4 linked regions of the Arabidopsis thaliana genome follow. The protein of the gene in region 1 interacts with the protein of each later gene in a biochemical or structural test. Each region holds a gene or a part of one and is shown on either strand. Other genes may lie near its edges.

Region 1 (6,843 bases):
AAGTTAAACAGTGTTATGAAACATAAATAATTTCATTTGCAATAACCAAAGAGAATAATATTTATTTATTTTCTTTGGCTCTATCATCTAATAGGAGGAGAAGTAAAAAAAACAGAAGAGAAAGATCCAATCATTCTAGAAAGGAACACAATATGCTTCACGGATCCCAAGAATCTTTCTATGCCTGCCTAAACCCAGCAATATAAATCAAACCTTCACACGCTTCGGTTCTTCTTTACACGTGCCGGAAAAAAAACCCTAGTAGTAGCCGCCCAATGACCATCTAAAGTGGTCCCCGTGATGACACGTGTCAGTTGGACCACTATCCGTAACTTAACATGAAAGCACATGTGGGGTCCCCTCTTTCGTCCTTTGCCCTACCAGTTCCTTGTCCTAGCCCACAATACAATCTACGCGGTATCTATATCAAAGTTTATCTAGCTATTTTCCGAAATAGAAAGCATATACTTCCATTTATTTTTGAACAAATTAAACTTGGTAGAAATAAAATCTTTCGATATTGATTTATTTCGATTTAGTGTAATTCTATTATCATCTCGCGTGTCATTCTAGGCTTATAGCAACAGTGTAGGTATGTTGCAATGTTGGGTTGGTCATGCCGTTTGGATTTATTTCCAGTGATTAATTCAGATTTTATTTTTCTTCTTAATTATCTACGTATAACAAAATCTCGCTAACCGCAGAGTGAATTTGCATGTCACTCATGAATGTTTTGAGTATAAGAAGTGAGTAATTTGTTTTATAAATATATGAACTTATGAAGATACATATTGAAGTTGTTTTGTTTGGGGGTAAAAAAGGTTATTTGAGTGTTATATGATAACTTTACTCAGAAAACGTACTTAGCAAAGGTAATTCGAAGTACCTTTGGAATCGAGTAAATACTGATAACTAGAAAAAATAAGATACATAATGGAGAAATAATTAAATATATTTGTATTTCTTTTTTGTTTAACAACGTACGTTTTATTATTAGCTAGTATACATTTACAACGGTTACGTAGATCATATAATAGCCATTTAAGATGTACAACATCTCATCTGGTTACTTCATTTATATAAAAAAAAAACGAAATCTCAACACATAGTAATGTATAATTACTTCAGTGGGGCTTCTCTTAAGACTTGTATTGAGAATATCCATATAAAACAAACTTTGTATTAAGATAATTAAAATTTTCTAATAGTAGGTATTGGGCTGAAGCCAAGATTAACATGGAGGCAGCTTTAAAATGTTTCCTTATATGATGCAGCCATCATTTCTACTCTACTCCGTAGCTCCAAACCCTTCTCGTAATTCACGTCTCTCATGCTATTCTTTTTGCTTTCGTCCTCCTCTCATGTGAAGCAATAACTATCTCTCGATTTTTTTTTTCAAATACCGAAAGCTAACTTTTTCAAATAAATGTCAAATATATTAATTTTCGTTTTGTATTTAGTATTTTATTTGTCAGCTAAGTATAGTGAGTTTTTAAGCTTACTCGTCGTATTTATCATATATTCATATACATATCACATTAGTCAAAGTAAATAAAAATTTGTTTTTGAAGAAAAAAAAAATACATATAACTGCGAGTCTGCGACTGTAACTGGACTTGCTTATTTTAGTTGATATGAGCTGAGTAAAATCACGTTGTCCCAGACCTTGCTCGCTACAATCGGCGAATGGTCTAACGTCCCGACACCTGTCCTCGATCCGCGGGTACTATATTCTTTGCAATGTGATGCACGCGCTGTTACTATTGGACAGTGTTTCTCACCTCACGACTGAGCCTATGCGAGTAGCGACAATCTCCGATTTGCTGTCTCCATGGTAGGGATTATCACAATCTCTGATTTTTTTTATCAGGAACAAGTAAATAAATAGCTTTGAGTTTTTGTTTTTTTTCTACATTCTTCGCCCAAAAGATGTAAGAAAATAAAGGATTTGAAACCTTGTTCTGTTGTTACTCCTTTAAATTCTTAAAAACTATAAATCATTATATCTTTGATCTGTTTCACAAACTAATCATATTCGTTGCAAAGTGAGAATTCGTCCCACTTTACTCTTTACACCGATACTAGTATTATAGATGTACAGCATAGTATTCCATATCTAGTTATTTAGTCAAAACTCTATATATTAAGAGGTAGGTTAATTAATTAAGGAGTAATTGAAGATTATAGAAAGAATAAAAAATACCATTTAATGGACAGAACCAAAGATAACTAACTATCATACTATAATGTTGAATTTCTTCCACGATCCAATGCATGGATAACAACATCAATCAAATCATACATTCATGCTATATAACATAGTTTTCAGTTACAAACTCTCTTTTTTATTTATTTCAGTTGTTCCTTTTCATGACCATATTAACATCAAATAATGCATTTTTTTCAACGTCTCTTGACTTACACCCACTAATATTGACAAATTGAACATCTATACGACTATACACACATAAGTTAAAAATGCATGCAAGTGCTAAGGGAATTTATAACATCTAAGGTTAATAAGACTAAGAAAGTATAAAATAAGAATACGTATTATGAATTTATGATATACTTTACTAATCTTTTTGAAAAATACTTTAATTTAATCTACTATAGGGGGTAAAAAGTAAAAAAGAAATAAAGATACGTTTATCCGCATATAGTACCTGGAAATAACAGAAAATAAAAACACAGGTAAGTACTTTGCCTGAGCTAGTATATGAACACTAAAGAGATACACACACACAAAAAGAGAGCAGAAACAAAACACACACACTTAAAGCTTTCGTCTTTACCTCTTCCCTTCTCTCTCTCTATCTAAAAAGAGTTCCGAGAAGAAGATCATCATCAATGGCGACTTCTCTCTTCTTCATGTCAACAGATCAAAACTCCGTCGGAAACCCAAACGATCTTCTGAGAAACACCCGTCTTGTCGTCAACAGCTCCGGCGAGATCCGGACAGAGACACTGAAGAGTCGTGGTCGGAAACCAGGATCGAAGACAGGTCAGCAAAAACAGAAGAAACCAACGTTGAGAGGAATGGGTGTAGCAAAGCTCGAGCGTCAGAGAATCGAAGAAGAAAAGAAGCAACTCGCCGCCGCCACAGTCGGAGACACGTCATCAGTAGCATCGATCTCTAACAACGCTACCCGTTTACCCGTACCGGTAGACCCGGGTGTTGTGCTACAAGGCTTCCCAAGCTCACTCGGGAGCAACAGGATCTATTGTGGTGGAGTCGGGTCGGGTCAGGTTATGATCGACCCGGTTATTTCTCCATGGGGTTTTGTTGAGACCTCCTCCACTACTCATGAGCTCTCTTCAATCTCAAATCCTCAAATGTTTAACGCTTCTTCCAATAATCGCTGTGACACTTGCTTCAAGGTTTGTTTGTTTTTTAATCGTTTTCATCAACATGATTGATATATATATAGTTTTTGCACTTGAAAAAGTTTTGATTTTTATTTATGTAAAAAACTGCAGAAGAAACGTTTGGATGGTGATCAGAATAATGTAGTTCGATCCAACGGTGGTGGATTTTCGAAATACACAATGATTCCTCCTCCGATGAACGGCTACGATCAGTATCTTCTTCAATCAGATCATCATCAGAGGAGCCAAGGTTTCCTTTATGATCATAGAATCGCTAGAGCAGCTTCAGTTTCTGCTTCTAGTACTACTATTAATCCTTATTTCAACGAGGCAACAAATCATACGGTACTAAGTATAGTCCATTTATTAATACTCATATATAGGTATATATGTATATAACTGTTGATCTTATTTGATTTAACTGGTGGGTTTAGGGACCAATGGAGGAATTTGGGAGCTACATGGAAGGAAACCCTAGAAATGGATCAGGAGGTGTGAAGGAGTACGAGTTTTTTCCGGGGAAATATGGTGAAAGAGTTTCAGTGGTGGCTAAAACGTCGTCACTCGTAGGTGATTGCAGTCCTAATACCATTGATTTGTCCTTGAAGCTTTAAATGTTTTATCTTTCTATATTGATTTAAACAAAATCGTCTCTTTAAAGAAAAAACATTTTAAGTAGATGAAAGTAAGAAACAGAAGAAAAAAAAGAGAGAGCCTTTTTTGGTGTATGCATCTGAGAGCTGAGTCGAAAGAAAGATTCAGCTTTTGGATTACCCTTTTGGTTGTTTATTATGAGATTCTAACCTAAACACTCAGACATATATGTTCTGTTCTCTTCCTTAATTGTTGTCATGAAACTTCTCTCTCCCTCTCTCTCTCTAAAGTTGTGTCAGATCTTGGGGCTTGTATCCATTTTGTGTTTCTTTAGTTAGGCAATGATCCTGTCATGATTCATGTTATCACCTAATTAATCCTCGGTTTTCGAAACGGTGTCATGCATATCTGATTAATCTTGTTATCTGGTGTGAGATAAATGTATCAAATTGCTCTTGTTTATAGCTTTTCCAATTAATGTCATTGCATAGCATATGGGATGTACAGCTTCGTTTTCGATTTATAAAATTTATACATGTGTTTGGTACGTACTGTTTTGTTTTGGATCAGAATTATAAATTTAGTACAGTATAAACTACTTTAAAAATTGGCCAATGAGAATTTTGAGTTTATCTTCTTTTTATAAGTTGATTGATTTTGCTTTGTTTATTTATAGAAAATATGAAATTTTATCAATTATTTTTGGGATGCTTTTTTATTGATTTTAGTTCGGCTAAAATTAGTTAGATGTTTAAATTTATTAAAACAGATATGCAAAAATTAACTCGATGGTTTTTTTTTTTTTTTTTAGGGGGATAAAAATCGAACTATATAGTTAATTAAAACTTAAAATGTTTTTCTGAACGGCTATTTCACTGATTTTTTAGTAGTTTAAATGTTTTTCACCGAAAATAAAAACAGAATAGGAAACAATACTATAGAAGTCTAACCAAAAAAAGTTCAATATCCAGTAGTTCAATATTTCTAAAAAGAAAATTTCTACACAAAGTTTATGGCAAAAACCTAAGTTATTATGGAGAAAACCAAGTTATTGAAAGTTATAGCGTACTGTATGTACAATCTTTCATCGTGATTTCATGTATTATAGATAAAATTATTCATTGTGGATGTAATGCAAATAGAACCATCCGTAAATCCATGTATTACGGAAAAATTATTCATCACAACTCTTATGTTTGAAAATAGTTAGATTCGGTCTTAGATCATTATTTTAAAAATACAAATAAACAAATACGATCGACAACAATTGCTCAGCAAATTTGACATACTGATAAAGTCATTGTTTGACAAAACACATATGGGCCTTAATATCAAAACACACGGCCCATTATAAAAGTAAACTGATAAGATAAAACAGTTCCCTATGATTCCTCAATAAGCAGCTGCTCAGCACGTTCTCGTAATTTTCAACTTCTTGACAATTTAATACATCCATTATCCAAACAATTAGCAATTAATTACACTTATAAATTAATTTGTAAACTAATTAAAACTGACAAACACGGCTCTCTCTTCTTCATCATCATCATCATCTTCCTCTCGATCGGAAAATAGTCAAAAGTTTCTATAAATTGTTGAATCAAAGCAGAGAAGAAGAAGAAGACGATCATGAATCCAGATTCCGATTATCCTCATCTCCCTAACATCAAGATCCACCATCCTTCATCTCCTCGTCACTCTCACCACCACTCTTCCTCCACTCCTTCCGCCGCTACTCCTACCCCAACCGCCGGTGCTCGCCGTAAGATCGGAGTCGCCGTTGACCTTTCCGAAGAAAGCGCTTTCGCTGTTCGCTGGGCTGTCGATCATTACATCCGTCCCGGAGACGCCGTCGTCATTCTCCACGTTTCTCCAACCTCCGTTCTCTTCGGCGCCGATTGGGGACCTCTCCCTCTCCAAACTCCTCCTCCTCCTTCCGCCGCTACCGATCCCGGAGCTCAGCCGAAGCCTAGTCAGGAAGATTTCGATGCGTTTACTTCTTCCAAAGTAGCGGATCTAGCGAAGCCGTTGAAGGAAGCTGGGTTTCCTCATAAGATCCATATAGTGAAAGATCACGATATGAGAGAGAGGCTTTGCTTAGAGACTGAAAGGCTTAATCTAAGCGCCGTGATAATGGGAAGCAGAGGATTTGGTGCTGAGAAGAGAGGAAGTGATGGCAAGCTTGGCTCTGTTAGTGATTATTGTGTTCACCATTGTGTTTGTCCTGTTGTTGTTGTTAGATATCCTGATGATCGTGATGGTCCTGCTCCTCCTGGGAATGTTGGAGCTACCAGGGAAGCTATTGTCACTGTTAAATCACGTAGGGATGATGACGATGATGATGATGAAGATCATGAGGCTAAGATTGCTGCTGCTGCTTCCGATCATCATGAACACATCAAAGGTTAGGATCCATTCATTACTTTCTCTCGTTGACTTGCTATATAAGGTTGGTGGTGGTGGCATAAGTTTTTGGAATTGTTCTGAATACCTTAGCTTTGTGTTTTCTAGAGATTGCCAATGATGGAAACTTGTAAAACTTAGATCTTTCTATGATTCGTCTTCAGAAATTAGAGTATTGTGACTTTTAATTTGCTCGACTCTGTTTCACCTTGTAGGAGTGGTTTTACGAATGAGCCGGTTACTTAACTTTCTGCTTTAGTATCGAAAAGTATTTGATTTTTCCATATTTTTTTTGTGTCTGTTGCTTTGTTGAGTGTATGTTAAATTTCGTAGCCATTTTTGATGACTATCTAGAAGTTTTTGGAAATTTTCACTGCAATGCAAGAGCAAGTATGGAAATGAACTTCAACGTTTTCTCACTTCATGATTTTCCTACACTGCTTTTGCTCTTCTTTACTAAAACTGGTTGTGTTTCAA
Region 2 (7,707 bases), on another chromosome or scaffold:
AGGGAAATGTCAATGTCACGCCTATGATCTCAGAACACACATACATGCATGTATATAAACATTTAAATTTCCAATACATGTGTGTACTATCTCTGCATTCCCATCGCCCAAATTGCGACAAAAGTGTGGGCTAACCCTAACATTATATACGTTTCTAGTAAAGTATGATCAGACCAACATTTTCAACGTTTCCTTCCTTATAACCAAAAATTATGCACGCCTTAATACTCAAAACTTCCGCCTTTTATATTTGCATCTTTGGTCGACCTTTTACCGATATAACCACCTTTTTTTCTTTGTCAAACACTTATATGACCACTTAAATGTTATTAATTGTGAGGCAATAAATAGTAGCTGATTGCAATATTTCGGAGCTTGATTCTTCATATGTTAAGTTATGCTGAATTTACAAAATAATGTGTTTTTTTCGGTAACCGAATGTTAGGGATTGCACAACCATATGAATAATTGCTTGTGAGATTACGAAATATTAACTAACTTAACCACTTAAATGTTGTTTGGGGGCAGGAAATACTAGTAGCAATAACACGATTGATTTTGCATTACATAATCTAATTCTATGATTCTTCGGATCGATTAGTAACAAATACTAATTAATATTGATATACAAGCTAAGGAGTTATTTTCAATTGGTGGGACAAAACATATATGATATATGCATTGCATCATTTTCGCAAGTAGGTGCATAGATATTTTCTTAGACATCTATACTTGAAATGAGAATGGAATATTATATAAAATCATATGTAGGTTTGAAATTAATTACGTGTGGAGTTTTGCTCGTGGCTTTCACCAATATGGTGTTCCTATATATACGTACATATTCATGGCGCTTTTAAAACTATCATTGAGAAACACTACATTAGTATATTGGCTGTTTCCCTTGTATAATTCTTAGTTAAAAAGAGTTTTCTTATCCAGCAAAAGCAATACAAACTAAAAATAAAATTGTAATCTAGAAAATAGCTAGGAAGATAAATCATATAGTTTCCTTATCCTAATCAATGAAATTCGGATACACATTTGAGAGCGTGCGTAAATTATTAAGTGATAAATGCCAAATATTTTAAAACAACAAAATAACGATTTAAGTTAAACGGAAATATAAAACTAGTATATTGATAAGCAGCCGGTTAACTCGGAAATTTTAACTACAAAAATAGAATTAATTTACTTTCGCTTTCATGGAAAGTCTAGACTTGGATGATTCCAAATATTCAAATGGAGGGGGAAAAAACAATCATATAATTGACTAAAAAGCTAATGATAACCAATCAATAAAAATGGAGCATCATGTTTATCTCTACATATACATACATGATACAAACAAACAAAACAAAGTATGTTTCAATTGAAATTAAATACTAATAATTAAAAAAAAAATTAAAAAAATAGGAAAGGAATTGTATAGAGAAACGAGAAAAAGTAATGGCAGTGGTAATTAAGGAATGACAACAACGGGTGAATGAGGCGACGCTTAATCACTCCCATGCACACGTCCCTTTCTTCCCCCCACCTCTGCCGCCCTCTCTCTCTCCTCTCTTCTCTTCCTCCATTGGGAACTGCGAATTCTATTGTCAAAGCTTTAAAACTTTTTTCACTTAAATTTTTTTTCAAGAGCTTCGTCGTTTCTTAACTTACTTGCAAACACATTACATGTGTCATCACGTGCAACCCCAACCCCAAAGCCTAAGCTCGCGAATCTTCTAATGTATGCCTCAATCTTCCCTTGTTCATACTAGTACTACAATATCTTCTTCCTAAGATTTCAAAATTGATCATGAAGTGGTTTGTAGTTTAGTGGTCATCGCTATATTGATCCAATCTCATATTTTTGTCGAAAGTTTTGTATAGTAGCTATAAATTTGATTCTTTAGTTAGAATTTCTTGTTCTATTTATATAGAAACATAAATGCCTATAGCTATTTTCATATATTAACATGTGCTTTTAATTGTATAGACCAAAATTTAATTGATTGCAAAATTAGGTTTGTAATTGTTTGAGATCAGATAGAAAAAGGTCCATCTTTAAGCGATAATATCCTCAAAACTATTTTGTCATCAGTCTTGTCTCCTTGTGACCACAAGGTCATCTTAGAGGTACAACGGTATAGATGCTTAATGTCTACGTTTTCTAGTAAGGGTGAGACCGCATGGTCAACCGAATTTCTAATATAGGCATTATCAAAAAGAAATCTTATATTGGATGTTGACAACAAAGATTTAATAATAACTCGCATCATTTGACTAATTAAAAATTAAAAAAGATCTAAGTGAGATGTATATTTTTATCAAAAAAAAAGAAGTGATATTTGTAAAGAAATTGTCCAATTCTTTTGTCAATTAATATTATGTTCAAAGTAATTTAACATTTGTTTAATATCTGGATCCACTTGTCAAGATTATGCATTTTGTGATAAATAAAAACAAAGAGTGCGGTATAGTGGTGGTACAATTCAATTGTTATGTGGCAATACAATTTATAAGAATATACGGAAAAGGTATAAAAAAAACTGTTTGTGAAAAAAATGAACTGCTTATTCAAATGGTGTTTAGGGTGTAGTTCCGAAACTTATTAAAAAAACTAATGTATGTTTATTTTATCGATCATAAATTTTATTCGGCCACTTGATTTAATGAAAAATTATATAAATAGTTATTGTCTTATTAAACACCGGCATATTTATTTTTATTTGGTTTGTGTTATCTGTTCTACACCATCCAAACTTATTCCATTTATGTTGCTGGTTCACTACCGCTGACTCTGTTATACTATTCAAAACCTAAAATTGTATATAACCCATTGGAGAATTTCTTTAAAGAATATATGTATCGCTGAATTGAAATGTATAATACACCACATTATATATATACACACAGTATTACCGAATTAATTAACGAAATTAATAGTAGACGACCTAGAGGCTACAATTAGAGCATTTGTTGTTTAATTTTTACCCTCTAATATATTAATATCCCCTTTCCCTTCTCACTCCTTTCACCTCTTCTCTCTCTATATATCTTCCTTTGTGGTATATAATACACAGCAACCCAACAATCAAGAAGATCAGATCATGGTGGGGTTTTTTATTTTCTCCTTATCAAGAATCCTCTGATCAGTCAAATACCCATCAATCAATCAAATCCCCAAACACTCCCAAAAAAAGATCAGCTTCCAATATTTTTCCCCTTCTTACAAAAAAGATGTCTATGTCGTCTATGTCCTCCCCTTCCTCAGCTGTTTGTTCACCGGACCACTTCTCTCCTTCCGACCATCTCTGCTATGTCCAATGCAACTTTTGCCAAACCATCCTTGCGGTACAAAATAACCTCTCTTCAATACTTTCTCTCTCATTTTTTCTCCTCCAACTTCTCATCTTCTTGATCTATACAAGATTAGGGGTTTTTTAAATTCATTGTTTCTTTTGTGTGCTTATAGGTTAATGTTCCTTACACAAGCTTGTTCAAGACCGTAACTGTCCGATGTGGTTGCTGTACCAATCTCCTTTCGGTGAACATGAGATCATATGTCCTCCCAGCTTCTAACCAGCTCCAGCTCCAGCTCGGTCCTCACTCTTACTTCAATCCCCAGGATATTCTGGTACTTAAACAAAATTCAAATACATAATCTTATAGGGTCTCATTTAGCTTATTGGAAGTAATCTCAAGCCTCAAGGATATAAATATTATTGTAGGAGGAGCTGAGAGATGCACCGTCTAACATGAATATGATGATGATGAATCAACATCCTACTATGAATGACATACCATCTTTCATGGATCTTCATCAACAACATGAGATTCCTAAAGCACCACCCGTTAACCGCCGTAAGATACTAATTCTTCTCACTTTTATGATATTAACTTCTATGCTAACCGTGTTTATAATTTGGTTGTGATGATGAATCGCCATTAAGACATGCATAGCTTTTCTTATTTAACTTTCACTGGATCTCGTTCAAACCCTAGCACCATTGAATTAAGTCTAGAAGGAGATTTTTTACCTTTCTTTTCTTTGTATACTAGAAGGAGACATGAGAGATTATGATTTTGTATATTTAAAATATTCATTGATCCATGAACTTTAGTATGTGTTGATTGTCTACATATCCTAGATGGCTTTTAGCGTTGGTAAACATTAAAATAGTGACGATAAAAGAAACGGGGAGATAGATTCATGGATCCCCCGGAAATCTAGCTAAAGAGAAAAAATCTATGTAATATGTTAGAAGATGGGCTTGTCTTTAAAAAAACATGATGAAGTGATGATGGGTTAGAGAGAGAAAGTATTTGTGTGAGAGAGAAAAAAGACAATGAAAGTAGTTTTAATGAGTGTTTGTCTCTTTCTGTCTGAGTTTTTGTTTTTTCGCTTTGTCTTTGCCGTTGAATTTCGCCATTGCCAGCTCCAGAGAAAAGACAGAGAGTCCCATCCGCATATAACCGATTCATCAAGTGAGTCTCTTATTTAATTTTTACAATCATTCATATTCTAACCATAACTGTGTAACATTAATATAATTCCTTGTCACGTTTTTATTTTAGGGAGGAGATCCAACGTATCAAAGCTGGTAATCCTGATATAAGCCACAGAGAAGCCTTTAGTGCTGCTGCCAAGAATGTAAGAACCTTATTTCTCACATCCCAAAAATTTATATTAAACTGTTATCCATTGGTTGAATCAAATTTTAATAATCAAAAGAGTCCTTGATAATCCATATTTATCTCTAGTTCAATAAAAAAATTATTTTTTTAAACGCTGAAAATTCTAGTTAGAAGTGATGCGTTTTAAGTATTCTTTGTTTTCCTTTACTAAAGAATTTAAGCCATTGATACTACTAACATCACAACTTGGTTTAGATTGCCGGCAGAAACTAGGGTTTGATTTTATCTATGCGTATAGTTGCTCTTGTATTAGTTGTATATATATTAAACAGTCATATATGTAGGTATAGCTGAAATTAGGAGTAAAGAATTTTGTCGGGTTATAACACAAGTTGATATGTGTCTTGTACGTATGTTGTTTATGTGTAATGCAGTGGGCCCACTTCCCCCACATACACTTCGGGCTCGTGCCAGACAATCAACCCGTGAAGAAAACCAACATGCCCCAACAGGTAAACCCTAATCTGTCGACATACCTTACATCTTTAATGCATATACTTTTATGTAATATCATATATACAAATATAATTTCAATTGATTTGGATCATATCTTAAACATGTGTGTAGGAGGGAGAGGATAACATGGTGATGAAAGAAGGGTTCTACGCTCCTGCAGCTGCTAACGTTGGTGTGACTCCTTATTAAAGAGATAAATATAATCGACTAAGTATTTGAGGAATTGAAATCCAATTTCTTAGGGTTTATCATGTCCAAAAGTTGTGGTTTCTTTTCCTTTCTTGAACTTATTTATATATATTATAAATATGCATGTGTCTTTTTCTGTTGTTGTAATCAAAAATCTTGCTAATTAATGGGGTTTCTTAAGTTAATTTTCATTTGTAGTTGTATAATTAATTAACTTATCAAAATGTTTTCTTATTATTACTGAAAGCCGAATTTGAAATTTAAATAATCAGACTTTTTTAATAGATTTTTACACCATCGCCATATGTAAAAGAAACTCAAAGGAAATTACAACCACCAATTAATCCAAAGCTTTTTTTCCTCCAGAATGAATATATCACAAAAATTTAACCGAAGAGAAAACAAGAGGGGAATGATCATATTACATTTCAAAATTCAAACTAAACTAAGAATGGAAATATGCACAAGCATTTGCTTCCCGAAAACATGTAAAACGATGTGATTCTGTTCAAATTTCTCCATTCAAAATCTGATTCTTGAGATTGTTGCATATGGTTCAATCTTATTGCTCCCATTAATGGTTTTATAATAGTGATATGGTATAATTAAATAAGAACTGGGGCATGCATCAAACGACAATTGTTGTCAAAATAGAGGGAAATTAAAAGTTAAGATAAATTTATTTCGTAAGATCAAAAATTCAGTGATAGCAATAAGCTAATCTAAAAGTGTATATCAGACTTAAATTTAACTCGTCTTTTTTTCTTTTGGTGCAATATAGAGCGGTGGATATAAGTAGCAAATCAAACAAAAATGACATTAGGATATGAGCAAGCATGATAAATAACAAAAAAAAAACGTTTTGGGTCAAGTGACTATATGTTATCAGGCCTACTAGAATTCGGCCCATTAATATTAATGACGAGTTTCCTTAGCAATCAGTGGGCCTGGTATACAATAATGCGATGATAATAAAATGATTTAAATCCTTCTTTTTTTTTTCTTTTTTTTTTTGGACTAAAAAATGATTTAAATCCTTAGCACCGGATCCCAACGGAAATTGCTTCTCAGAATAGTTTTCTTCAGTCTCCGACTATATTTATTTCATTTTCCGATCATCGTACTATACACTCCCCAACATCGAGTAAACAAGCTTAGTTGTCAATTTACGAGTTCCAAAAGAAGAATCCAACAAAACGCAGTGTTTCGTTACTTCTAGACCCATCTAATTTCTACGTGTTGTATGCAACAATGACGGCTTTACCCTTTCGCTTTCTAATGTGGTCCATGTTGTTCTGGACTTATAGGTCCATATGGGCCTATGTTGGGTTGGATAATAATTAACCAATAAGAGACCACGTAGAGACCCTCTAAACCAAATAGAGGCGTTGAAGCATGAGCACGAATAGAAGAGCGTTATGATTGAATGTCATTTATGGACGAGAGGAGAAATACTAAGAACATAAAATCCATTAACAAGCTCAAGCATTACATCAAACTCAATATTGAGAGAACAAAGGTTCTATCATGAACAAGCTCAAGCATTACATCAAACTCAACAGTGACAGAACAAAGCTTTTTCTCACAAAAACAATAGATAACAGTAGAAACAAACATATAAAAACATAGCAAACCAAAGAGATTTTTCTCTTTTAAAGTCTCAAATCTTCAAGAACATTGGAAACCATGAGGAACTTTCTTGCCACAATAGTTCAACAGCAAGGTTAGATCAATAGGAACATTGAGATTAATCCCCAAGACATTGGCTTTAAGAGCGGTGCAGAGACAAACCGCAGCTTCAAGATTAGCAAGACCTTGAAGAAGTGTACAACAAGGAGTCTTTGGTGGAGAACCAACAACAACGTTAACTAGGCCCAATAAGTCTGCGCAAACACCAAGCTTAAGTGTGTCGGTAGGACAAGTGGGTTTCACGGCAGGAGCCTTCTTAGGCGATTTCGGGGTTTTTGGGGGTTTAGGAGTAGTTGGTGGACATTTTGTGGAGGTTACAAAGGTGAAGAAAAGAAGATTAAGTGTAATAAGAAGAGCTGTAACTGCAAGAGCCTTAGAAGCCATTGTAACGTTTTGTAATGTTTTGGGATGAATGTGAAGGAGAGATATAGGACATGGTTTATATAGAACAAGTTATTACTAATTACATATACCGAGAGATAAAATAGCATGTGAGCGACTTAAGAAAATTAGAGTAAGAAACAAAACTATCCAGCTAGTTGGCTTTTGCAACTTGAGGTCTTGAAATTGATTAGACTATTTTTTAGGAATTGTTAATTTATTTTTCTATCACAGAAAGGGAAAAGACAAGATTTTTGTCTTGTTTGTTTGTGAAAGAAGAGGCTCCACAAACTTTGAGACAGAGTGTCT
Region 3 (7,454 bases), on another chromosome or scaffold:
AAGTGGGAAAGTTCAGAGGTTGAAGAAAGAGTGTCCTTCTGTTAGTTGTGGTCCTGGAACTTTCATGGCGAGTCATTTCGATAGGCATTATTGTGGGAAATGTGGAACTACTTACGTGTTCAAGAAGGCTGATGAAGAGTAGGTTATGTCTTTTTGCTTTTGGAATTTAGATTGTTTTTTTTTTAATTCAGATATTTTGAGATGGTTTTATACTATTGAGGGATGGTTTAATTGTTGCATAATACATTATATTATCTTTGATTAGAAATTTGATCAATTTTTTTTTTGTTTCATTATGCTTTGACTGATGTGGAAATGTTGAATTGTGGCTGTAGAATTAGGACGTTGTGTTGGAACAATTCTTTGCGACATTGTTTTAGTTTTAACCTGGATTAGTGCAAGGCAAAATTTAGCCATTATGTTGATTCTGATCATATTCTTACACCAATGTCTTGAAGTTTTGTTGTTGTTGGCTCTGATAACTTGTTTGCTAAGATAAGTTTAAATTCTCTCAGATATTGATTATGTGTTTGACATTAACGTGCGTTTGTCTTTGCACATTTTATCGTCATTTCACAGCTTCTATTTATGTTAACAGTGAGATTTGACCAATCTATAAGCTGTCATGTAAAAGTTTGAGACTAGAAATGAGATGTATATCAGTATATATGGAGTAAAAGACTGTTAAACCAGAAGCCATAACTATGATTACAATGTATAATTTTAACCTCTAATCTCTCAAATCACAAATGTGTACCTCCTACTCAATTACTCATCAATAGGCTTATGAAAATGGATCGAAACTTATTAATGGGTCGGTAAATTATGTGATCTCTCAAAATGGGTCGAAACTTGTTCACTCCGGGGTTGGGTCATTGCATTGGATTCCACCCACACAAAAATTACAAATGTGTAGGAAATTGAGTAAATATTAGTATTATGTTTAGTCTTTTTCTTGTGGTTGAACACAAAATAGGAGATGAGAGTAAGTGAGAGAGAGAGAAAGCAATAAAGAGAGGGACAGTAGAAATAACATGACACAGAGAGAAAGCACTGAAACTTGAAGAAATAGAGAGAGAGAGAGAGAGAAGAGTTTGGGTAAAATGGTCAAGAAACAGTTAGCAAAAATGTGAGAGAAGAAAGACAAAATCCTAAGATTCCGAGTTACTAAAAGTGATGAGTCTCCTAGAAACACCCGCACTAGTCTCAACTCACTGCACTTTCATTTTCAGTCTCACTTCAACCAAAACTCCAAAAGACTGTTGAGTTTTGTGAGAGATTCATTAAATCCCATTTAAAGAGACAACTACACATGAGACAAAGAGGCATTTCTTTCTCAACCTCACTTGTTTTTTTCTTTCTTTCTAACTTGCAAACCAAACCACACCACCACATCACATCATTTATTAACCCCAGCTCTCTTCGATGTCTATCTATCTCCTCTTGTGCAACGTGCCTTTCCATTTTCACATGTTCATTTTTAATACTCATACTCTTTACCATCGATTTTTATCTCTTGTTATTTTTTTGTTTAACCTAGTGTTATCTTACAATAACACATATTATCTTGTATGCTTATTTATCAGAAAAATCCTGAAATGGTTTTTGAAGGGAGCTTATATATTTTCTGTTTATAGGTTATTAAGTGTTTTAAATTGTTTTGACAACAAAAAATGTCTCCTCTAATGGTAAACGCTCAAACGTTATGTATCATTTGTCATATATATTTTGTGAGTGTGACATAACATAAAAATCTTATAACAATGCTTTTGTATAACGAAAATTCTTAATTAAACTCCATCATCAACAAAAGTATTATATACATCATTTTATTTTATTTTATTTTAGAGAAGAAAATGTAGTTTGAATATTAAGGAGTTAGGAATGTGATTAATAGAAAGAATGAGAATCATTTACTGCTTACAGCTCATAGAGACTATGAAGATTCCAATTATTACAAGTGAGATAGAGACGTACATAAGTTGAATTGTATTGTGCATTTTAGCATATAACCAAAGCATTCCACATGAAAGATATAAATATAATTACATATTTGCATTAATGAATATTAACAAAACCTATCTCTCTGTCTATATATACACACACACACACACACATATATCTCCTATCATTCATCGTACACACACACTCTCTATGACAAAGCTCCCCAACATGACGACAACACTCAACCATCTATTTGATCTGCCGGGGCAGATTTGCCATGTCCAGTGTGGTTTTTGCACCACTATTTTGCTGGTATACCTTAACTTCTTCTCTTATTCTCTCCCTTCCTTTCTCCCTTCCTCTCTTTATATATATGATCATGAGTTTAATGAGTGTAAATGTGTTGCAGGTGAGTGTACCGTTTACAAGCTTGTCAATGGTGGTGACTGTGAGATGTGGGCATTGCACAAGCCTTCTCTCTGTCAATTTGATGAAGGCTTCCTTCATTCCTCTCCATCTCCTTGCTTCTCTCTCCCATCTTGATGAGGTTTCCATAACATCTATACATAGACAAACACACACCATCTAAATATGACCAATATATATATATATATACTTACTTTTGATTATATGTAAATATATGTGCAGACCGGGAAAGAGGAGGTTGCAGCTACAGATGGTGTGGAAGAAGAAGCATGGAAGGTGAATCAGGAGAAGGAGAACAGTCCAACGACTTTGGTTTCATCTTCAGACAATGAAGATGAAGATGTGTCTCGTGTTTACCAAGTTGTCAATAAACGTACGTTTGAGTATAAATTCAACTTAAACTTTAGTTTTGCGATTTCTCCTTTCATCAGTCGTCTAATTATGTTTTGAGTTTGTATATATATAGCACCTGAGAAGCGACAAAGAGCTCCTTCAGCTTACAATTGCTTCATCAAGTAAGAAATAAATTCAACACATTACATGTGTATGTATATTATATATATTCTTACAAATTTAACCACTTAAGGTTTTGAGTTTGTAAAATGGTTCTTCTTTGGGGGTTGTATTGGAGCAGGGAAGAGATCAGGAGGTTAAAGGCTCAGAATCCAAGCATGGCTCACAAGGAAGCTTTCAGCTTAGCTGCCAAAAATGTACTTAAGCTTAATTAGTCTTAAGATTTAAAAGAAAACCCTAATATAGTTTTCATCTTTTTGTTAGCTTAATTGACAGATCGAGTTAGCTAATAACATTTTATGATTTCAATTTTTTGATTTGGGGATGGCGAAGTGGGCCCATTTTCCTCCAGCTCACAACAAGAGAGCTGCTTCAGATCAATGTTTTTGTGAGGAAGATAACAATGCGATACTACCATGCAATGTTTTTGAGGTAATCCTCAGCAACCATTTATATTTTTTAATCACTTTCGCTTCAAAATCAATTACCATATTCTTGACAAGTAAACTCCACAACAAGTGTCATTTTCCAAAGCAAACCAAATAATTAAAGCATTAACTAGATCCAAATAGCATCGCTCTCAGTCAAAATTTCAGAACCCTAGCTAGACTAATTATATAAAGAGAAATCATTTACTAATTATTAGAGTGAAAGCAAGGAGAAGGGTAAGTGAGATTGTGAGAATATATCATTGATCTTCAACTACTACAATGTGTGAAATTTATGACCTAAACCCTTTTATAGTATTGAAGCTTACACTGCACACAGTTTACTTTTATAGAAACCCATTCAACTAATTTAAAACATTGAAGCTGAATATGTATAGTTTTCAATTAATATACCAAATAATTGTTGAAATGTTTGTGATGCAGGACCATGAAGAAAGCAATAATGGGTTCCGAGAGAGAAAGGCTCAGAGGCATTCCATTTGGGGAAAATCTCCATTTGAGTAATAACAATTTGGGATATGAAAATTTAACAAAAAAATAAATAATGGCGTATGACATGTGATGGTGACTCTTTTCTTCTAGGGTTTGATTATGTTGGTTTAGGGTTTCTGTTGTTGGAGAGAGATAGAGAGAAGAAGAATCTGAAACGGAAGTAGGATTTGTGTGTGTTCGAGAAGAGTCCTTGGGAATGAGCGAGTTTGTTCAGTAATTTCGTAGTACTTGTCAACTTTGAACTTAATTTGAAGAGACATGCATTGACTCTATAAAAAAAATTCTACTTTTGCATTCATGACTACTCTTATTCCATGAATGTTTTAACATTCCATGAAACAGTACTTTAGTAAGAATCTTTGTTAACCTATCATAATAAAGATCCTTCTTGACTTCGCGCGCTCAATGCTTTTGTACGTACGATGGAGAAAAACACTTACTAAAAAAAAAACACTTTTTGTTTTGACATTTGACCTTTCTAAGTTACTTTTTTTTTTTGTCGTCTGAAAATTTATTATAGAGATTCCGGTGAAATACAAAAGTGAAATATAAAGCCGGCGGTTAACAAGTAACACCAGAAAACTAAGCCGACGATTAAAAGGATAGTCTTGGAAGCAAAACCCAAAGGAAAGGGAGACAACAAGGCAAAACAAACCTTACAAACAAAGCAAAGTTGCGAAACTGAAACAAAGAAGCAGACCAAAACAACCAAAATTTTAAACACAACATCTCGTCAACCACATTACCAGACAAAGGAAAGGCAGAGCTTTACAACAAGCCACTCCGTAGGAGACAAGGAACTCCCAACCAAACGGACAGCGGTGCCACCTATTACGATGAAGACTACCTTACATAGAAGAGTTCCAAGGAATCCATACCGGCGAGAAGAACTAGGCCAAAGACGACAAGTCACACCTACACTCCCGGAATCGGCGAATTAAAGAATATGATTGTTTAGCGCCTCGAAGGAAACCAGCCAATGAACAGATGAGATCTCGATCAGATCTTTAGAGTAGAGACAAGGAGAGAACCAAATCAATTCGGACCACACCGAAAAAGAAAAACGGGAGGAGATCGAACCGGACAGAAACGAAAGCAACCACCAAGCCTGGTAAGAGGCTAAACGAGAAGAAGGCTAAAACATGACCGGATCAAGAGGCGCTACTAGCAACATAGACCAACCCACAAAAACAACATAAGCCATCTAAGAACCATTCGAAAATCCCTACACCACAACGCACATAAACTAAGTAAAAGCAACATAAACTTTACAACAGAGCAAGAGACGCATAGCTCCGGCGCTATGGAAGCCACCAAAGCCAGCCAACGCAAACTGAGATCTAGATCTACTTTTAGAGAGAATGAAGAGGTTTTAGAGTCCTCCATTCTTTACACAAATTATTATTAATTTGATCTTTCTAAGTTACTAGTATATAAAATATATAACCATCAATATTCACGAAACAAGAAAGCTAAAGAAATCAATTTCCATGATTGAAGTTACTTTGACAGTATAAATTACTTCATCCTAAACTATATTAACATGCACTTTTTTCTTTTAGCTTAAAAAACCAGAGCAAGTCTGATCTTGCAAATGCATGAAAATCAAGAGTTGGATCTATCGGAATCCTTTATTATATCATTGACTTTTTTTGCAGTAAACTGCCAGTGGATCTCATGAATCTAAAGAAACCATAGTTAAAACTTAAACCTGAACCGATCAAAAATTAAACTCGTTAGTCTTTTGTCACGGCGAGGGGATAATAAGAAGAAAAAAATTATATCAGAAGAGTGTTTTTTTTCGGATAAAGAACTAATATACTTGTCAATGAGCTTAATTTGTTTTTGTTTGCTTTACACTACGGACGGCTCTGACCGTACGAACAAAATTATTAAGGAAAATCATAATTAAGAGGTTGACATTGCATTTTAGATATTGGTGTAAATTATTTGTTATATATACTTTATTCAAAATTCTCTATGTATGTACATGTTAACGATCCTTTACTGGAAAACTTAAACATCTTCCATGCCATGTTTAAATTTGTTTTCACGTTTTTTTATTTTGAGCTAAACTGATATTTCTTTGTGTATTCTGAAATATTTTTGGATTTTGGTATTGGTTAAGGTTATAATTTTCCAGCTGAAAAGGATGAATTCTCTAAAAGTTTTCAAAGATAGGGTATCATTTCAAAATACATTTTTTAAAAAGGTTTGCTTCTCCTAATTTCATATTATCTTTTTGACGTCACCACTCACCACTATTGAAAAAGCATTTCTTAATTTTCTTTAACAAATGGAGTTAGTAGAATATTATTATCTGCACGTTTTCCCTATCTAATAACAGGGGTAATTTCGTAAATCCCCCTTCAACAACTAATTAATGTGCCGGAATCGCAACTTCTTAAACTTCTACCAATAACAATACGCCACGTCATCATTCTTCCCTGTCATCGATTACCTCAGACGGTGTCGGAGACGTTTCATTCTCCGGCCTTTAGTGGCATTTTCTCGTAAATAAATTCATAATCTGTGGGCGAACCTTTGGCGTCGTGTTTATAATAAAGTCCACCGCGAAATCTCTATTATTCGCCACAACAACAACAACAACAACAACCCAAAACCCAATTTTGTTACCTCTTCTTTCCTCAATCCTAAAGTCAAAACAAACAAAAAGCTTCCATTTTTTTTCTTTGATTATCTTCAATCGGAATTTCAGGTAACGAAAAAAAAAATCCGATCTTTAATCATCAAATCACCTAACTGGGTCAACTATTTGATCAAATCGATAACTGATGGATTGATTTGGTTTTGCTTATCGTAACTTTTGATTTTCAGGTGTGAGAGATGGGTTCTGAAGGACCAAAAGCAATAACGATTCATGTGACTGGTTTCAAGAAATTTCTTGGGGTTTCAGAGAATCCTACTGAGAAGATAGCTAATGGTTTGAAATCGTATGTGGAGAAACGAGGTTTGCCTTCTGGATTGTGTCTTGGTAGCTGTAGTGTTCTTGACACTGCTGGGGAAGGTGCAAAATCTAAGCTTTATGAGGTTTTGGAGTCTAGTGTTGTCTCTGGAGATAAGAACAACAATGGAACTGTTGTCTGGGTAAGCCTCTTACTTATTTCTTGATCATCATTGTTATAATCTGTCTCAGTCTTAACTGGTTATAGACTTTAGAGTTATAGCTTAAGTTTAAGTCTAACTTGGATTTACAGTTTCCTCTTTTTTAGTTTGGGTATTGTATTTTCATATATATATATATATATATATATATATATATATATATATATATATAGAGTCGAAGCTCTTGTTGGTGATCATCATTCAAAAAGTTAAGAGAGCTTTTAGTGCAATCGGTTTCAGCGAGAAAGAGAGTTATCTCTTTGGGAGCTTCGCTTGATTAAATGGTTTGGATTTTGAATTGTGTTTGACTTGCAACCAATAGTCTATAAGAGATGACATCAACAGTAACTGCACGAACAGAGGGACGTTCTGATGCGTTAGAGACGAACCAAGAAGATACTAAAAACACATCTGCTACACTCCTTGAGTTACCACTTTTAGATTTGAGAAGCTTTGATATGCCAAACATAATGGAATTCAAAGGAACAGTGGATGGACATGAAG
Region 4 (10,839 bases), on another chromosome or scaffold:
GCACATGTACCTAGTGACTCATAATGAAACGTATCATAATGGATTGACGAGTAGTTGTCTGATATTGACATCTTAATTTATAACTTCCCTTTTCATTGTTAATGTTCCTTACTGTCTTCTGATTGATAATAAAGACGTTGACATGTCAAACCACATAATTATTTGAAAAATATATATTATTTCTTCAGATTTTCATCATTTGTTATAAGTCTCGATAAGACAGTTTTTGTTTTTTTAACAATTTTTTACAAAAAACTTACGACCATAATTTAGTTCAGGCGAAAATCAGTGAATCATTAATCATATTTATTAGTTTGGATTTTTATGTGTTTTTCTTTTTATGTATTTGAGGATTTTTCAGTTTGTGAAAACAAATCTAATATGCTTATTTGATTTCTTCTTTATTTGCTGTATTCTTAATATATCTTGCAGAGCTAAGGTAATACTCAAATTTTTTTTTTCCACACGTAAAAACTCATATTTATCAGTTTGGAATTACTGTATTCTTTTTAGTAGTCCTCTCACTCGCCATGGCAAGAAGAAGGTTTTTTTTTCCTTTTTCTTGCATTCCATGTTAATCAGTATTTGAATAAAAAAGCAAGCTAAATCGGCAAATGAACTTATATCCAAATAATCAAGATATCAATCTGTGTAAGCATTACTAGAAAAGTAGAGATACTCGTGTTACCGTGTAAATTAAAAGAATAAAAATGTGCTTTTCAAAAGTTATATACTTTTCTTGTGCACCCATAACTTTAGCAAAAGCAACCATCATCATTCTTGAGCAATTAAAACAAATAATATTGATCTTCATTTGGTGCCAAAATACTTTACGGTAATGACGTCAAACTCGATGTTTCTTGTCAAAGTCTGAAAGACCAATATAAAATAACACTAGACACATTATAAAATTAACATATTGGTTCATTGTAATTAAACCGTCGAATATATATAACGAAAATACCAATTACGCTGTGAATAAACAAACAAAATCATTTTATTAGTCATCGAGTAAATAAATTCGATTATAATCCTCAATAGTCAATATATATATAGCTCACATCACATTATGCGATTAACAAAAACAATCCAAAACAGTTAAATGATTAGAAATTAAACGAGTCTCACTAAATTATTAACGACTCCAAATCACGAGAAGGCTTAAGAGTTATCATGTCGGGAGAATTTAACTGATAACCTCTTCCATTATCTCTCAATCACGTGATTTTTGTTCAACGAGTACCGCATCTCAAGAATAAAAATGGCAATTTAGGTAAATATTTGTCATTTTCAAGGGCAATGGAACTTAAAGATGCATTTCAGAAGGAAAAGCTTTGTCGTGTTATGAGGGAAATGTGGGGACGCAGCTACTTCGCTTTCAAACCGTTGGATGAATATCCTTTAAGGTTCATCGTACAAGATCGACGGCACTCACCGAGGGTGTACTCATGTTGTGACACAGAGGATCATGTCTACTTGGAGTACAGCTAGCAGCTAGAGATTCTGAGCCGATAACGTCGAGAATTGTAGCCGGCTAAGTCGTATATGCTGGTTTAAACTTTAATCTGTACTTATATATAAGTCAACGTGCTTATCAAAATCAGCTCCCTTATCGTGTGATAGGTGCATTGTCTTATTAGACTCCGTTATCCGTCACCTTCGCATATTAAAATCACTTTTTATTTTTTGGTTTTAAATTAAAGTCTCCATTTCTGCAAGATTTTAATGTTCGTATAAATAAGCCTGAAGAGAGAGAGAGAGAGAGAGAGAAAACTTGTTTTTTTTTTTTCCATTAGTTTTTTTCTTACTTTCTGGTCGAGAGAGGAGAGTCCAAAAAACCCAAATCCTTGGCCTCTTTCAATATCAGGAGAGAGAAACTGAAGCTCTGGCCTTTGTTTCTGAAATCGATCGTCTTCTTCTTCTTCATGGCAAGTAACGTATCTAGGTCTTTCATTTTTGGTTTAATATCTAAATCGTAGCTTTTCTGGGTTTTTGATTTTTGTTTTTGTCTCATGGAAGTGAAAAAGATGGCCATTTTAAGCTTTATATTTAATTCGGTGGACAATAATAATACTAGGAAGACCTAATTTTTGTGTAGCCCAATTAAACACTAATTAAATCCGCCGGAATAGAGACTTTTGGAGAATTTTCCGGAGGATAGTTGTAAAGATCTAGTTATATACTGTGTAATTAAGAGGCTGTGTCTATTTTCATTTTTTAAAAATAATAATTAAATGGAGGAATATCTGAAACCCAGTAAATTGGGATGATTTGATGGTTTTGTAAGGTTATCATCGTCGCCATTATATTGATATGCAGATCTGGTGGGTTTTTCTGCATCTGACTTGATAGCTTTATCGGACTGAGTGGCAAAATCAATCATGTCTTCTCTGAGCAGAGAGCTCGTCTTCTTGATCTTACAGTTTTTAGATGAAGAGAAGTTTAAAGAGACTGTTCATAAGTATGTCCGATCTCTCTTTTCCTTTTTGTCTTTTATTAGGCATTATTATTAACTTGATTGATTATTAATTAGGCTTGAACAAGAATCTGGGTTTTTCTTCAATATGAAGTATTTTGAGGATGAGGTGCACAATGGTAACTGGGATGAGGTTGAGAAGTATCTCTCTGGTTTTACTAAAGTTGATGATAATCGATACTCCATGAAGATTTTCTTCGAGATTAGGAAGCAGAAGTATCTCGAGGCCTTGGATAGGTAACTTGTGTCTCTCAACAACAACAAGAATCAAATGTTTTCATATTGCCAATCAATCACACCTGCTGCTGCTTCTATCTAGGCATGATCGTCCCAAGGCTGTCGATATTTTAGTCAAAGATTTGAAAGTGTTTTCCACTTTTAATGAGGAGCTTTTCAAGGAAATCACTCAGCTCTTGACCTTAGAAAACTTCAGGGAGAACGAGCAGTTATCCAAGTATGGGGACACAAAGTCCGCCAGAGCTATCATGTTGGTGGAACTCAAGAAGTTGATTGAAGCTAATCCTTTATTCCGTGATAAATTGCAGTTTCCTACCCTTAGAACTTCACGCCTCAGGACTCTGATTAATCAGAGGTATTCTTTGTCCTTTCTTGTTCACTTCAACAAATTTTCTTCTTGTCAGCTACTTTAACTCCTTGTTTCTATGTGGCTACATAAACCTGCAGCTTAAATTGGCAACACCAGCTTTGTAAGAACCCAAGGCCTAATCCTGATATTAAGACTCTCTTTGTCGATCATTCCTGCCGCCTACCAAATGATGCACGAGCACCATCCCCTGTCAACAATCCGCTTCTTGGATCATTACCAAAAGCCGAGGGATTTCCTCCTCTAGGCGCACACGGGGTAGGTCAATTTCCACCTGATTTTTCGTATTTTCTATAAGTGCCATTTCTACTGCTTTTGGTTCTAGCTCTATAGTTACCTTTACATGCCGTGCTTGACTTACCTTTATGTCTTTAGCCTTTTCAACCAACACCTTCTCCGGTTCCGACACCTCTTGCTGGTTGGATGTCTAGTCCTTCCTCTGTCCCACATCCAGCTGTGTCTGGAGGACCCATTGCTCTTGGTGCTCCATCCATCCAAGGTTATTTGCTTATCAAATGTGGTGTTTCTTTATAAAAGCTGTGTGGAACTATAGTCTTAAATTTTATCCTCGCCTTTTTTTCAGAACCTTTAAGTTTCACCTGTGATCTATGTAACATGTTCTCCTTTTTGGTTCTTAGCAGCCTTGAAACACCCGAGAACTCCTCCTTCTAATTCCGCTGTAGACTATCCATCAGGTGACTCAGACCATGTCTCAAAGCGAACCAGACCTATGGGAATCTCTGACGAGGTGAGAAAAATCTTAATTAATATTATATATTTTCTTATCAATACCAATTTTACATAATTGGTAGTACTAGTTTAGACTTTAAACGTATTTCTTCTTTCTCCCCATATGTAGGTGAGTCTAGGTGTGAACATGTTACCAATGACATTCCCGGGGCAGGCTCATGGTCATAATCAAACCTTCAAAGCACCTGATGACTTGCCCAAGACAGTTGCACGAACTTTGAGCCAAGGCTCATCTCCCATGAGCATGGATTTCCATCCTATTAAACAGACTCTGCTACTAGGTCTGTTTCTTGGTCTGTATGCATATTTCATGTAACATACATCATCAGAAATTTTGTAAAACCAGAAGTTTCTTGCTTCAATTTTCTTTGTTCCAGTTGGTACGAATGTAGGGGATATTGGGCTCTGGGAAGTCGGTTCTCGAGAACGTCTAGTCCAGAAGACTTTCAAAGTTTGGGACTTGAGTAAATGTTCGATGCCCTTGCAGGTGTCTTCTTTTGTGAAAATCAACCAGAATATTAATATCTAATATCTATTTGAAACTTCAGTGACCAACAATTCTGGTCTTTATAGGCTGCTTTGGTGAAAGAACCTGTCGTTTCTGTCAACCGTGTGATTTGGAGCCCGGACGGTTCCCTATTCGGTAAGACTTGAGATTACAAATGCTCTTTCAACCGATTTGAGTATTCATATGCGCACGTTTTCAACTGCAGGAGTTGCTTATTCGAGACATATTGTACAGCTATACTCTTATCACGGTGGTGAAGACATGAGGCAACACCTTGAGGTGTGATATAGTTTACAACAACATTTTAGGAGTATTTCTTTCATTTCCTGTAATGAAAATCATTTTTTATTATTTCAGATTGATGCTCATGTTGGCGGTGTCAATGACATTGCATTTTCCACTCCGAACAAGCAACTATGTGTTACTACTTGTGGTGATGACAAAACCATCAAGGTTCAGTATTTTTTTTCTTCTTTCATTTCCTTAACTCTTGTTTTTTTTTTTTTTTGTTGGAACTCTAAAAACAGACTAATCAATTCTGTGAATTAAGGTCTGGGATGCTGCAACGGGTGTAAAACGGTATACTTTTGAAGGCCATGAAGCTCCTGTTTACTCTATCTGCCCTCACTACAAGGAAAACATTCAGGTAAAGTAGCAATATTTATACGGTTTCATTTTTGCTAAGTACAAGTTGAAATTCGTTTCTATTTGGTTTTGACTTGTTTATTTCTTCTTCTGCTTAAGTTTATCTTTTCAACTGCTCTTGACGGAAAAATAAAAGCATGGTTATATGATAATATGGGTTCTCGGGTTGACTACGAAGCTCCTGGTCGCTGGTGTACAACGATGGCCTACAGTGCTGATGGAACTAGGTTATAACATGATTCTCATCATCTTTATGTTGTGGTTCTGTTCTGTATCGTCATGAAGTGATAATAAATTTAAAATCTATTTTTTATTATATTCACATGGATAGGCTATTTTCTTGTGGGACGAGTAAAGATGGGGAATCGTTCATAGTTGAGTGGAATGAAAGCGAAGGAGCTGTGAAGAGAACTTATCAAGGATTCCACAAGCGTTCCCTTGGTGTTGTCCAGTTTGATACTACTAAAAACCGTTATCTCGCTGCGGGTGACGACTTCTCCATTAAGTTCTGGGATATGGACACCATACAGCTTTTGACTGCCATTGATGCTGATGGAGGTCTCCAGGTATGCAAACAAATACCTCGATTCTCCCTGGGAACCGAATGTTTTCATTTGCAGCCATCATGGCTCTCTATGTTTTGTAGGCAAGTCCACGGATCAGATTTAACAAGGAAGGCTCTCTCTTGGCTGTTTCCGCAAATGACAATATGATTAAGGTTATGGCAAACTCAGATGGTCTAAGGCTATTGCACACAGTCGAGAACTTATCTTCTGAATCCTCCAAGGTACTGAATTTTGTGCTCACTGGATCTTCAACAAGCAAATTACTAACCCCCAATTTGAAATTTCTTCAACACTTTATTTTTCATGTACATTTGCAGCCTGCAATCAACAGCATTCCGATGGTAGAGAGACCTGCCTCTGTCGTTTCCATCCCTGGAATGGTACGAAAATCGATACTTTTTCCGTCAGTTTCTCTATCTCTTGGTCTGGGTCCAATCATCGTTGTTGATCACTTACCTTTCCAACAGAATGGAGATTCGCGGAATATGGTGGATGTGAAGCCAGTGATTACCGAAGAATCAAATGATAAGTCTAAGGTATGGAAGCTTACTGAAGTCGGCGAACCCTCTCAGTGCCGTTCATTGAGACTCCCTGAGAATATGAGAGTCACCAAGGTACTAACACATAGACTGACATAACTGTACTTATATGGCTTGATTCTAATGACTCAAAACTTGAGCAGATATCGAGATTGATTTTCACAAATTCGGGAAATGCAATTTTGGCATTGGCATCAAATGCTATTCATCTGCTATGGAAGTGGCAGCGAAATGACCGTAATGCAACTGGGAAGGTACTTATGGTCTAAAATCTTCCTTTAAGATCGCCAAAAGAGTTGAAATCATGATGAAATTCAATTTGAGATTTTGTGTAGGCAACGGCTTCTTTACCTCCTCAGCAGTGGCAACCAGCGAGCGGGATCTTAATGACAAACGATGTGGCTGAAACTAATCCAGAAGAAGCCGTACCCTGTTTTGCTTTATCGAAAAATGATTCCTACGTGATGTCAGCATCGGGAGGAAAGATCTCTTTGTTTAATATGATGACGTTTAAGGTAAAATCCCAGCTACAGACAGCACTATGTCTAATGTATGCAAACAATGCTTCATCTGTTACATTTAATTGTGTTGTTGGCTAAGCGCAGACAATGGCTACTTTCATGCCGCCTCCTCCTGCCGCAACGTTTCTTGCTTTTCACCCTCAAGATAACAATATCATTGCGATCGGGATGGATGACAGTACAATACAGATTTACAATGTTCGTGTTGATGAGGTTAAGAGCAAGCTTAAAGGACATTCTAAGAGAATAACCGGCCTCGCTTTCTCCAATGTATTAAACGTTCTGGTTTCGTCTGGAGCAGACGCTCAGGTGCTGATTCATCTCATGTTTTGTAATAAAGAATCCAAATCCTTAGAAGTCTTAGTGTGAATCTTTTGGTTTTTGTATGCAGCTTTGCGTATGGAACACGGATGGATGGGAGAAGCAGAAAAGCAAGGTTCTGCAAATTCCACAGGGAAGATCCACGTCTTCTTTGTCAGACACGCGTGTTCAGTTTCATCAAGATCAAGTACACTTCCTTGTGGTCCATGAAACTCAGCTCGCTATATACGAAACAACCAAGCTTGAATGCATGAAACAGGTTTTAGTCTTTATATATGTTCATTCTCTCTCCTTGCATCTGAGTAACCCTTATAGAAGAAAGAAATGTCTTTATTTTGATTCCAGTGGCCTGTGCGTGAATCAGCAGCTCCAATAACACATGCCACATTCTCATGTGATAGCCAATTGATATACACAAGTTTCATGGACGCTACAATATGCGTCTTCAGCTCTGCAAACCTTCGATTGCGTTGCAGAGTCAATCCCTCTGCATATTTGCCAGCTTCTCTCAGGTGAGTTAATGAAATGAATATAAACTAGTGCAATGTTGGATCATGAATCTTGAGTCTTCATGTTGATGTTTTGTGCAGCAACTCGAATGTCCATCCACTGGTGATAGCGGCTCATCCGCAAGAATCCAACATGTTTGCAGTGGGTCTGTCAGACGGAGGGGTCCATATATTCGAGCCGCTTGAGTCAGAAGGTAAATGGGGAGTAGCTCCACCGCCTGAAAATGGCTCAGCCAGCGCTGTCACGGCTACACCTTCCGTTGGAGCTTCTGCCTCTGACCAGCCTCAGAGATGATCTGCTTCAGTTTCTTACTCTGTTTTTTTTGTGGGGGTTTTAGATCTTTTCCGATTTATTATTGTTTTGTTTGTGTGGGGGGAAGAAAGCATTCTAACAAGGTAAATGAATTAATAGCTTACAAGTTCTTCTTAATTGGTTAATTCGATGTTGCTTGCCTCTGATATTTTGGTCTTGAGAAATATCAGTTTTGCAAAAGGACGAATTTGCAATTTTGCACTCCGAATCTAAGCACGAACTAAGGATTGAATGCCACGTGCAGCTTCGAGATAGGTTTGGATATTCGTTTTGAGATACGAAGGAAGAATTACTAAGGCCTATGCGGCCCACGGCCCACAGACTTATATATCTACAATGATAAATATCTTCAAAAATAGTAATTTTGAGAAAATATTGAGAAGAGACAGAGAAAAAAAATCGAGTGAAAATTATCTGGTGTGTGTATCTAGAAGAAGCTACAGAGTGGGACGAGGTTTAAACTCGCCAATCGCCATTGACCTCTCGCTTGCTTTCTTTAACTAAAATGGCGACGCTATCAACACTAGAGATTGCTACGACCTTCCTCTCTTTCACCGCTCCTCGTTCCTCTGCCGCCTTCAACTATCGCTTTTCTTCTGCCGCCGTCTCTGTTCTCTCCAGGCCCAGAGCTACCACCGTTTCCGTCAGAACGACGCCGTCTTTCTTCTATTCCCCGGTGGTCCGCCGTCAAAGATTCTCATCTGTCTCCGCCTCAGCTACGCAGACTGAAGATTCTGATGTCACCACTAAGATTCCGCCAGATAACCGGATTCCGGCTACTATTATCACCGGTTTTTTGGGCTCTGGCAAGGTCAGTCAGTGTTTCTCATCATTTCATATCTATTCTAGGGTTTAAAATTAGCCCTGCTAAGTAAAAGAAATGTTGGACTAATTATACTGCAATGTTTTGTTTTTCCACAGACAACATTGCTGAATCATATACTGACCAGAGATCATGGGAAGCGAATAGCCGTGATTGAGAATGAGGTTAGCTTATTATCCTCGCCTGAATTCAGTTATAATGGTGTTGCTTTCTAATTCATGTTTCATGTGAATTCTCTCAGTTTGGTGAAGTTGACATTGATGGGTCACTTGTTGCTTCTAAATCTATTGGAGCTGAGGATATTGTGATGCTCAACAATGGCTGCCTTTGTTGCACTGTTAGGGGTGATCTTGTCAGGATGATTGGAGAATTAGTCAATACCAAGAAAGGAAAGTTCGATCATATAGTCATAGAGACTACAGGTTGGGAAAGGGGGCATTTTCATTTAGTATGCTTAGAGAATCTGGGGAATGAGTAATGACTATCTTATGTTTATTTTCACTTTTTAGGATTGGCAAACCCGGCACCGATTATCCAAACCTTTTATGCCGAGGAAGAAATTTTCAATGATGTCAAACTGGACGGTGTTGTTACTCTAGTTGATGCTAAGCATGCTCGTTTGCATCTAGACGAGGTCAAACCCGAAGGTGTTGTCAATGAGGCTGTTGAACAAATAGCTTATGCAGATCGTATCATAGTTAACAAGGTAACCAAAGTTTTGAACACAATTGTCTCAAAGAGAATGTGATAGTTTTTGTGATCTTGAGTGGTTGAATCTCTTCTATCATAAGATTCAGGTCGTTCCTCTCTCAAATAGTTTATAGTTTACAAATAAATTCATTTGCACAAATGGTTTTGACACGTCCTAAGTGATGGATCCATATGTTTTACTCAAATATATTGAGAAGTTATCGGTTGTATTGTTTTTGTTGGCATATCCAATTTCTGAAAAGTGACTGTACTTTGTTGCAGACTGATCTTGTTGGTGAGGCGGAATTAGGTTCGGTGGTACAACGCATAAAGGTCGGTCTCACATCTTCTTCGTATTCATTTATTTCACTAGATGATTATATGTTAGTCTCTCAGACCATTCTTGGTTATAATGTTAACGTATTTGCTATGGTTATCTACAGACAATAAACAGCATGGCTCAGATGACGCGAACAAAGTACGGAAATGTTGACTTAGATTATGTTCTTGGAATTGGAGGTTTTGATCTAGAGAGGTCTGCTTCTTGTTTAACTTATGATAATATTCAGTTTGGTGTCTTGTAGCTTCACACAGTTATTAAGGTGTTCTTTGCTTTATCAGAATCGAAAGCTCTGTGAATGAAGATGATAAGGGAGATCACCATGATCACGACCATGATCATCATCATGATCACAACCATGACCACGACCATCATCACCACGATGGACATGGTAAGTTTATTAGGAAACCTTGATTTAGTTATATTGATTGCATGCTCCAGCTTTACGAACATGGATTGTTGGTTCTGGTCTCTCTCATCACAACCTAATCAGTCTCTGATTCTTAAACCTCAGATCATCATCATCATTCTCATGATCACACCCATGATCCCGGTGTTTCTTCAGTCAGTATAGTTTGCGAAGGAAGCTTAGACCTTGAGAAGGTAATATAGATAATATGCAGCTTGAGAGGCACACAAAAGTCTCATATAAAACGACTGTTTGATGAAACCGTATGTTAATCTTCAAATTGTGTCACAATCCATCAGGCAAACATGTGGCTCGGGACGTTACTGATGGAACGCAGTGAAGACATCTACAGAATGAAAGGTCTCCTCTCGGTCCACACCATGGAGGAGAGATTCGTGTTTCAAGGAGTCCATGACATATTTCAAGGATCACCAGACAGGTTATGGGGAAGAGAGGAGGAGAGAGTGAATAAGATCGTTTTCATTGGTAAGAATTTGAACAGGGAGGAGTTAGAGAAGGGTTTTAAAGCTTGCTTGATTTGATTTTTGCACTAGCTCTATGTATACTGAGGAAATGGTCACCGGCGTTGTTGTAACTCGATTTTAAGTGCCAAAGGATATAAACGTCATTACTCTTGGTTCTCCTCTGTGCATCACCATTGTGGCGGAGATATTTCCAACTTAAGTAGAGAACGTAGTAGCAATAAAGTTATGCATGTTTGTTGTGTTCATATTTGGGAAAAACGAAAAAAAGAACTTTGTAAGAAAATAACAATAGAGATCTCGATGAGATATAACAAAAGTCGATCAAATTATAGATTCAACT

Evidence for each region.
Region 2: the proteins of SPL (region 1) and AFO form a complex in vitro, tested with the Arabidopsis thaliana proteins (one study listed by BioGRID).
Region 3: the proteins of SPL (region 1) and INO form a complex in vitro, tested with the Arabidopsis thaliana proteins (one study listed by BioGRID).
Region 4: the proteins of SPL (region 1) and TPR1 form a complex in vitro, tested with the Arabidopsis thaliana proteins (one study listed by BioGRID).

Annotation. Positions count from the first base shown.
Region 1 is NC_003075.7:13,679,467-13,686,309, reverse strand, and holds SPL (sporocyteless (SPL)), read left to right. Parts: upstream 1-2,715; 5' UTR 2,716-2,850; coding exon 2,851-3,381; intron 3,382-3,480; coding exon 3,481-3,714; intron 3,715-3,803; coding exon 3,804-3,983; 3' UTR 3,984-4,232; downstream 4,233-6,843. Other genes in the region: PHOS34 (Adenine nucleotide alpha hydrolases-like superfamily protein), read left to right, coding at 5,593-6,367. UniProt on the Arabidopsis thaliana protein: Transcriptional regulator of sporocyte development. Acts as an adapter-like transcriptional repressor recruiting TPL/TPR corepressors to inhibit TCP transcription factors. Required for nucellus and embryo sac development.
Region 2 is NC_003071.7:18,626,071-18,633,777, reverse strand, and holds AFO (Plant-specific transcription factor YABBY family protein), read left to right. Parts: upstream 1-2,998; 5' UTR 2,999-3,225; coding exon 3,226-3,339; intron 3,340-3,349; exon of another isoform or gene 3,350-3,460; coding exon 3,461-3,622; intron 3,623-3,716; coding exon 3,717-3,849; intron 3,850-4,424; coding exon 4,425-4,473; intron 4,474-4,563; coding exon 4,564-4,639; intron 4,640-5,057; coding exon 5,058-5,135; intron 5,136-5,250; coding exon 5,251-5,328; 3' UTR 5,329-5,526; downstream 5,527-7,707. Other genes in the region: AT2G45180 (Bifunctional inhibitor/lipid-transfer protein/seed storage 2S albumin superfamily protein), read right to left, coding at 6,997-7,401.
Region 3 is NC_003070.9:8,315,269-8,322,722, forward strand, and holds INO (Plant-specific transcription factor YABBY family protein), read left to right. Parts: upstream 1-2,028; 5' UTR 2,029-2,061; coding exon 2,062-2,256; intron 2,257-2,353; coding exon 2,354-2,491; intron 2,492-2,592; coding exon 2,593-2,743; intron 2,744-2,836; coding exon 2,837-2,885; intron 2,886-3,004; coding exon 3,005-3,080; intron 3,081-3,216; coding exon 3,217-3,315; intron 3,316-3,755; coding exon 3,756-3,836; 3' UTR 3,837-4,223; downstream 4,224-7,454. Other genes in the region: AT1G23410 (Ribosomal protein S27a / Ubiquitin family protein), read left to right, coding at 1-142; AT1G23440 (Peptidase C15, pyroglutamyl peptidase I-like protein), read left to right, coding at 6,672-6,932. UniProt on the Arabidopsis thaliana protein: Essential for the formation and the abaxial-adaxial asymmetric growth of the ovule outer integument.
Region 4 is NC_003070.9:30,257,989-30,268,827, reverse strand, and holds TPR1 (TOPLESS-related 1), read left to right. Parts: upstream 1-1,702; 5' UTR 1,703-1,928; intron 1,929-2,287; exon of another isoform or gene 2,288-2,319; 5' UTR 2,320-2,381; coding exon 2,382-2,461; intron 2,462-2,533; coding exon 2,534-2,713; intron 2,714-2,795; coding exon 2,796-3,068; intron 3,069-3,160; coding exon 3,161-3,338; intron 3,339-3,455; coding exon 3,456-3,579; intron 3,580-3,718; coding exon 3,719-3,828; intron 3,829-3,939; coding exon 3,940-4,111; intron 4,112-4,207; coding exon 4,208-4,317; intron 4,318-4,403; coding exon 4,404-4,473; intron 4,474-4,543; coding exon 4,544-4,617; intron 4,618-4,695; coding exon 4,696-4,791; intron 4,792-4,888; coding exon 4,889-4,984; intron 4,985-5,082; coding exon 5,083-5,210; intron 5,211-5,314; coding exon 5,315-5,549; intron 5,550-5,629; coding exon 5,630-5,770; intron 5,771-5,866; coding exon 5,867-5,929; intron 5,930-6,016; coding exon 6,017-6,163; intron 6,164-6,231; coding exon 6,232-6,342; and 12 more. Other genes in the region: PTAC17 (plastid transcriptionally active 17), read left to right, coding at 8,258-8,563, 8,674-8,739, 8,817-8,997, 9,085-9,281, 9,548-9,598, 9,709-9,800, 9,887-9,996, 10,120-10,208 and 1 more. UniProt on the Arabidopsis thaliana protein: Transcriptional corepressor. Activates TIR-NB-LRR R protein-mediated immune responses through repression of negative regulators such as CNGC2/DND1. Negative regulator of jasmonate responses.